Linked DNA regions of Schizosaccharomyces pombe. The protein of the gene in region 2 purifies or fractionates together with the protein of the main gene of each other region. This does not show direct contact. Each region holds a gene or a part of one and is shown on either strand. Other genes may lie near its edges.

The links.
Region 1: the proteins of ssm4 (region 2) and arp1 purify together in Schizosaccharomyces pombe (affinity purification with western blotting; one study listed by BioGRID). This does not show direct contact.

The regions. Positions count from the first base shown.
Region 1 is NC_003423.3:4,081,937-4,085,862, reverse strand, and holds arp1 (centractin family actin-like protein Arp1), read right to left. Parts: upstream 1,927-3,926; coding exon 1,910-1,926; intron 1,867-1,909; coding exon 1,836-1,866; intron 1,767-1,835; coding exon 1,702-1,766; intron 1,663-1,701; coding exon 636-1,662; 3' UTR 515-635; coding exon of another isoform or gene 387-514; 3' UTR 355-386; downstream 1-354. Other genes in the region: mrm1 (ribose methyltransferase), read left to right, coding at 1-23, 70-343, 387-514; SPOM_SPBC1347.14C (uncharacterized protein), read left to right, coding at 3,219-3,584; protein sro1, read right to left, coding at 3,336-3,656. UniProt on the Schizosaccharomyces pombe protein: Core component of the dynactin complex which assists cytoplasmic dynein by increasing its processivity and by regulation of its cargo binding.
Region 2 is NC_003424.3:4,534,811-4,538,736, forward strand, and holds the start of ssm4 (dynactin microtubule-binding subunit, p150-Glued Ssm4), read right to left. Parts: upstream 1,927-3,926; 5' UTR 1,877-1,926; coding exon 1-1,876. Other genes in the region: RNA polymerase II-associated Paf1 complex subunit Tpr1, read right to left, coding at 2,325-3,926. UniProt on the Schizosaccharomyces pombe protein: Binds to nuclear microtubules with the effect of either modifying their structure or function. This then promotes meiotic nuclear division.

The DNA.
Region 1 (3,926 bases), on a different chromosome or scaffold from region 2:
TGGGTGCCGTTATTCGAAGCGCTGTAAGCTATCGTTTGCTACTATTTAAAATTTCTAATTGGGTTTAAGTATATTTTAGGCGCTAAAGGGATTTTATTATCAAAAAAACATAATACATTCTTGTCACCGGTCGTTAGTAAAGCTTCAGCTGGAGCTCTTGAAGTCTTCAACATTAGCCACGTGAAAAATCCTATGGTCTTTTTGAGGAACTCAGTTTTAAAAGGTTGGAAAGTCATAGGGACCAAGCCAGCTTTGCCAGATAACAAAGATCAAATTTACACCCCGCATAAAATCAAAACAGAACTAATGAATGAACCGAAAATACTTGTACTAGGAAGTGAAAGTAAGTGTATTGTATGAATGCCTTTATTGCTAACTTTATAAAGAGGGTTTAAGAACGAACATTTTAACGCAATGTTCTCATTATGTTTCAATTCCCGGCGGTGATAAATACGTTGATTCATTAAACGTCTCAGTAGCTGCTGGTATTCTTTTGTATAGCTTAGTGAATTGAAAATATTAGACTGATTGTTTAAAAGATATACCAAATTTTAAAGCTTTAGACTGGTACAATGTAATATTGGTTTTAAAAGTTTCAAATGAAGAGCGATAAACTGCAATACTCGTTTTAAGTTTCAAAATCTTCGCCTAAAAATTACGTTTTGATCATTTTTATACTCCTCTGAAGTAATTAAAAGCCGACGAAATGTACTTAGACTGGCTAATATTGAGCCGCCAAGCCAAGCATTATGCATACGTTCAGGGGAAGCATAAATTTTAACTTGATTTTTTTTCCCAGAAATTGCACGTAACTCAGAGATGAATCTCTCCCCAAATCCTCTCAATAACGTTGAACCTCCAGAAAGTACAATGTTTGAATATAAGGTTGACCTTAAATCGATGTCGGACAATAAAATAGACTTGAACAATTGTATGTGAAGACCAGACGCCTCAGAACCCATCATTTCCGGGTTGAATAAAACCTCAGGCGCAGAAAAGCATTCTGTACCCAAAGTTATAGTTTGGTTGTCTGGGAGTTGATATGTATGAATCTGCGGTTTGTGTTCAGTCCATGATTCTATTTCTGATCTAAAGTCAGATGCTACGTAGCAACATTTTTCTTTAATTTCCCGGACAATTTCTTTCTCCGCCGAGCTGACGAGTTCGTGGCCAGATTTTCGAAGTTGCAATTGCAAATAATCTGTAACGTCACGACCTCCAATTTCCTCTTGTTGTATAGCTGATGGAATGGAAAACCCATCATAAATAGGAACACTATGAGTCAAGCCATCTCCACATTCAAGAACAATGCCAGTTGTACGTGCGGAGGCATACAGTGCCAATACAGGCTGCAAGGAAAAGCTCAATGCTGGAACGTTTAACGTTTCATAAAAATACTCTGCAATTTTTTCTTTGTTTCGGATGTTAGCCAAAGGAGGTTCGGTTAAAAGCAAGGGATGTTCTTCCGGTAAAGTATTGAGCTGTTGATCTGAATAAATATAGCTCCAAATCTCTTCCATATCGGACCAATTTTGGATGATTCCCCGTTCAATTGGACGTTGAATTTTAAGCAACCCGCGAAGATTTTGAGCCTCAGAACCAACAAACATATCTTTTTGGATACTACTTGGCATGACACGCTCATGCTTAATTCTTCCAACACTGTATATTAGTATCTAGTATGAGAAATAAACTTCATACCAAGTCGGAAAAAGGCATTTGGGAATATCATCGCCAGCGAATCCAGCTTTAATAAATCCAGAGCCCTAGATAGTTTTGTCAATATAACTAGACAGTTTAACAGGAAATAGCCGGCTAAAAAGAGTCTGGCATACATTGTCGATACATATCGGCTGATTATCAAAGCTAAAACGCGTCAATAAATAGAATTCTTTCAAAAGACACGCACATTTCAGTAACAGTCATCCAAAAAGCTGAAATATCAAAGTTGAGACTCGGAGGTTTTAAAAGAAAGTTTTATTAAGGGTTTAAATTATTCTTTAAGCGGCTTGAAATTTGAGAGCACTAGCAATAATGAAGGAAATGGCGGGTAAACAGTAATAGAAGACGCAACTTTGAAGGTTTTGGGCTTTGCCAAGAAATTTTATACTAACAGGAGGAACAACAATCGTACCAATTTTTTAAAAAAATACCTTAAACCAATGGAAATTGGTCACTAACAGCTATTAGTTAAAGCAATTGGGAATTGTCTAAAGAAAGTAGCATGCTTGACAAGAAACTTAGCAGTATTAAGCTTCGTTATGTATCACTATACCCTGCAATTATCATACATAAGTTGTTTCATTCAATAGGCTTTTTGAATGAAAACCATATAAAGAAATTACGACAACCCTTTCGATTGAATTTGTTTCTTCAGTTGAATTGTAGTATATGCTTAATAATGGTTATGTTTACATCTTGGTTAGACCCATCATAAAGCCGCTCGTACTCGTAATTGTTGTTGAATGGATTGTAAAGAAGACTGTACAAAATTCACTGCATTTTTAACGTGTTTTCGAAATAACTAATCAAACTATCAAAAAGATAACGTATCAACACTAAACCGCACTACTTTATAAATTGCACATCGGGTTGCTTCTTAGCTAGACGGAAAGACAATGCTGACCTTGTCTTCATAATTGTTTACAATCTTCCACCATTCATCTACTCATTAATCAGTAGTAATGTATTAAAATAAACAATTTCTATTTTTTAATTATACAAACAATTTCCTATTCTGAATCTAAATGTAACAGTTGTATCGCATTTGGCATTTCTTTTTTGTAATCCAGCAACCGAAAATTCAATCAAATCAATGTGACCATGGCGAATTGGATATAAAATAACAAAGATTAAGGTGGAAACTTCAACTTTATCAGCGACTATCATTATAGTCAACAAGTAGACAAACTAATAATATAAAGACTAACAAGTCTTGGGGGTATAAACTAATAATACATATGTCTTGCCTCATTTAAAAATGGTAAAAGCAAGGAACCGTTCACGGCTTATATCGATAAACATTCTAAAGCAGGGGAACCAATGTGTTGAAACTGGTAATAAAAAGAGGGATGGGGGTGGTAAAAGAATTCCAATAATCGAAATTCCTTAGAAAAATAAAAATAAAATCCATGTCTTAACAATTACATCAAGAAGAGTAAAAAAAAAAGAAAAGCGAAAATAACGAATTAAAAAAGATTGCATTGTTAGATTGTTTAATGCTTTTATCGAATAAGATAAAACATTCAATTTTCCAATTTTTTGTTTTCCCTTTTTATTATTTTCTTCTGATCATAACGGAAATCGGGTTTTCTTCTTGTATACAATATTCGGGTTTAAGCGCTTACTTCCCAATCAAATGCACCCTTTCTTTGCTCAGCTCCCCAATTAGGAGAGTTCAAGTCATCTCTGACAGTTTGAACGTAAAAGGAAAGAGGTTGCTCTTGGTCGTTACAGCTCATAGCCGACTCAGAGTTAATGCCGATATCGGTGGTTTGATCAGCAACATTGGATGCGGTAAAAGACCAACCATTCTTAGTACCGTCAACACGGGAAGCAACACTAGTAGAGAAGGAAAATCTTGAAGCCGTTGCCTTTAAAGAGGTAGCGGCTAAAAGAGACTTGGAGATGACACCTTGTTTAAGAATAGAAAACATAGCGATGAATCAAAAATGTTTATTGATGAAATTAAAAAGAAAAGAAAATAACAGTGATTAAATAGAAATGTGTAGAATAGAAGTATCACCGTTCGCAGATTTAATTATCGAGACGTCAGCGAAGAAAGAAAAAAAAAATTTTCTTAACTAATTAAACCAACGAATAAAAAATTTTTTTTCTGAAGATGACCGTGTTGATCAAACCAATATTCTTTATTGTTCACTAAAAAGAATATCAAAAGAAGTATTTAGTAGTAGCTAAAATGTATT
Region 2 (3,926 bases):
CAACTAATTTTCTTATCTCCTTGCAGGCAAAGGTCAATGGGCTTGGAATTGAGTTTTCAGTATTAGAATCCCGTAAACTGTGTTTGAGCCAGTCTATATTTTCACTAGTATTGTCACCTTGTGGATATTTATCGGCCAGTTTCATCCTTGCGGTCTTTAGCTGTTCTCTTAAATTACAAAGATTTTTCTCATACTGTGTCTTTAATGTTTCAAATTCTTTCAATGTTCTAGAAGTGATTTCAGAGTTAACTTCATTCTCGTATGATTCAATTTGTTCTTTTAAACGTTGGTTCATTTCTGTAAGGTCGTCTTTCATACTACTTTCCTCCTCCACTTGTTTTGATAGTTTCAATTTTGCACTGTTTAACTCGTCTATTACAATATTTGCTTTCTCAAGTTTTGCATTTAATTGCAATAATTCCTCTTGAGAGTCTGATAAGCATAGTTTCAAATGTTTAACTTCTGTCAAAGCAGGTTGAGAAGATATTAGTAACTGAGATAGCCTTTGAGTTTCCTCTTGCACCTCATTTAACTTTTCCGATTGTCTTGCTTCTATTTCAGTGTTTAGCTGATTCAAAGTTTCCAAGTCTTGAATTTCTTCTGTTAGTTTTAATACTTTATGAGACAACAAAGCATTTTCCTCCAACAGTTGCCTTCTTGTCTTCACACCATCCACTGAAGAGTTGTTGGACTTTAAGTTTAATAATTCTTGATAAACTGTGCTATTCCAATGTACAAAATTTTCATTTGTTAATGAAAATTGTAAATCCAAACTTCCCGGTACAATATTTAAGTATCTATTCACGTTAGATATTGTCAATTTCTCAGAAAACGGGTTTTTAGGAATTTTTACAAGCTCAGTTATGTCGACCTGAACCTGTTTTAATTGCAAAACCTTAGAAACCTCTGAGACCCCAAGGAGACTAGATGGTGTAACTTGTGTAGTCCAGTTGTCCTGGCTTTTAGGAGTTTTGGAATTCAAACTTCGATCAGAGTACTTATAATTAGGAATCTTTCGAATTTGCAACTTTCGCTTTCTTAGATACTTTATTTCTTTCTGCATAGCCAAGAATTTTTTGAGAAACTTTTCACGCCTAAAATTCCGAGGTTTTTCAATACTGTTTTTACTGCGAAGGAATGTCAACTGAGGTTCAACTTTCTCTAATTCCTTATTTAATTTATCAATTTTTTCTTTTAAGGCGGTATTTTCACACATCAATTCATCCAAACGACCCTTCCTTAATTCTGACTTTAAATTCTCTTTTAAATAACTTCCCTTTGAATGAGGAGTAAATTTTTTTTCACATTCCTGCAAAACGTTGTCAACTTGCCATACAAATTCCTCTTCCATAAAACTACTATCGTCAAGCCCAGACAATTTGCTCGTATCTGAGTTTAACAAAGTAGTGTCAAAACTTGATAATTCTTCTGTTGAAAAATTTAGCTCATCTAGATTTTCAGTTGTAGATGAAGTATAAAACGTAGCTGTCTTTGTGGGAGTAGACGAATCAATAGGTGTAATGCACAATGGGCGTGCCAATGATCTTTCAAATTTTGAGGGCTCCCTACGTGATTTTTGTTTAATTGCTTTAGTTTTTTCCATAAAATTTGATATGTTTTCTGATCCTTTTTTCCTTGACTTGACGACACTTGGTCTTTTCATCACATTCGAAGAGCATGCGCGTACAAATATCCCTTTTCCTTTCTCACATGAAAAATATCGTTTCCCTTTTACGCTTCCATCATTTTTTCCTTTTCCATTTAACAATTCTACGCCTAACCAAATACCACTTTCAAAATCAGTACTACCGGCAAATCGAACTATTCCTAATTCTCCACGGATGAGGACTTCATCCCCGACGGACAAATAACTCATTTGAAAAAAAAGAAAGGCTCAGAAAGTACTTGATAAAATGGTTAGAAACTGTGAGATTAGTGTGGGGAGGGGGGAACAATGTTTGCAATACAGGCGCGCTAAAATCATCACTATGTTGCACAGTTGAGCATGTTAATCACCAATGTTCAAATCACTTTTAACACGCATGTTAATGTTATTTAAGTAGAATGAAACGATTCTTGGGTGAATAAACCTATTAGTTCTTTTTGAAAGGGTGGATAGAAAAAAACAAATCTAGTCTAAAAAGCGTAAATGAATGACAAGAGCTTTTGTATACAAAAAATTAATTTAAATGATATTATTACACGAGATCATAAATCATATATATGACAGACAACAAATAACTGAAGGGAGAAAGTTAATATGCCATTGAAATAAGAAAATTCTTATCTGAACGGCATAATTCAAACAGCAATGAGCATAATTATTATTCTTCATCCTCTTCAGAGAATAGATTTAACTCTTTATTGTCATCTTGATTGTCTGTGATATCGTTATCCTGCTTTTCTTCGATAGTACGAGAAACCTCCTCTTCTTGATTTCCCTCCGCGTCACTATCCTGGTCAAAAGTATACTCTTCGGATATGACTCTTCTATTAACACGACGTTTTTTAGTTTTATTTCTGGCATCGCTCAATGGTATTTCATCATCTTCGCTTACTCCGCTATCCGAGGATTCCTGTTTCGATTTAGATTTACGCTTTTTTCGATCTTTCTTTTTCTTCTTGCCTGACTGTTTTTCTTCGTCATCAGACAAGCTCATATCATCTTCAGAAGCCTTCTGCTGACTCTTTCTCCACTCCAAAACTTCTTCTTGCATCTTTTGTCGCTCTTCCTGAAGTTGCCTCTCACGTTCTTGCTTTTCCTTAAGTAAAGCTTCTTCCTCTGCCAATCTTCGAGCCTTCTCCTTTTCCCTTTGAATCCTAGCATCTTCAAGTTTGGCAGCAACACTCTTCTCATATTCGATTTGCGCTTGAATAGCGCGCTCCAATTGACGCTTAGTAGTATTTTTAGCCATCTTTGCACGTTGTTCAATACTGGTAGGAGAATAGGGTGGATGTTCGACAGACACCAGTTTGGTAAAAGTTTCAATCGATGCGTCAAGCTGTTGCATTGCAAAGTTCAGATCCTCAACAGTTCTACTGTTCTCGGGTTTCTGACGGATGAGCTCACATAGCTGGAATTGTACAAAGGCAACGTTAAATAAAAGGCTTGGATTCTCGGGATTTTTTTCTAAAGCTAATGTAGCATATCGCACGGATTCTTTTAAATAGTCGACGTTTTTGCTTTCGCGACCACGCTGTAGCCAAACTCGGCCTAAACAGCTCAATACACCATAAGTATCACTTTCTCCGGTACTAGAATACACGGTTTCAAATACCTCAATAGCACGACTGAACTGTTTGAGTTCTGCAAGGCAATTGCCAATGTTTATGAGTGTTGTAGCATCCTTAATTGCTTCACGAACCTTACTCAAAATAAGTAGAGCTTTAGAAAATTGCCTGTTTTGTGCTAATATAATGGCAATACCCTGGGCAGCGTGTGCGTTTTTTGGATCAAATTTAATAGCTTGATCATAAGACTGAATAGCTTTGATGTAAAGTTTTTGCCTTTTTAACTTTTCACGATCATTATGTACACGAAACTCTCTTGCCTGTCTCATATAGGCATTACCGAGTTGAACTAGGGAGTAAATGTCATCGTGCCAATGTCTAAGGGTCTGAGAGCAGTGTCTAACTTCAGGATCTTCTACTGGGCGACGCTTTTGTTTACTCAAATACCAACCAAAAAATGCTCGAACCTCTAAATTTTGAGAATCTGCGTTCATGATATGACGAATTTCTTTAAACGTTTCCTCGTTAGGATTGGATAACTGAAGTAAACATTTGCGAATACGGGCATCAATAAAAGATGGATGTTTTTCGAGAATCGAAACATACGCTTCACTAGCTACAGAAGTGTTACCCAATTCTTCTTCACAACGTGCAAGATTGTAATCCAAGAGCAAGCTTAATTCAGGATTGGCATC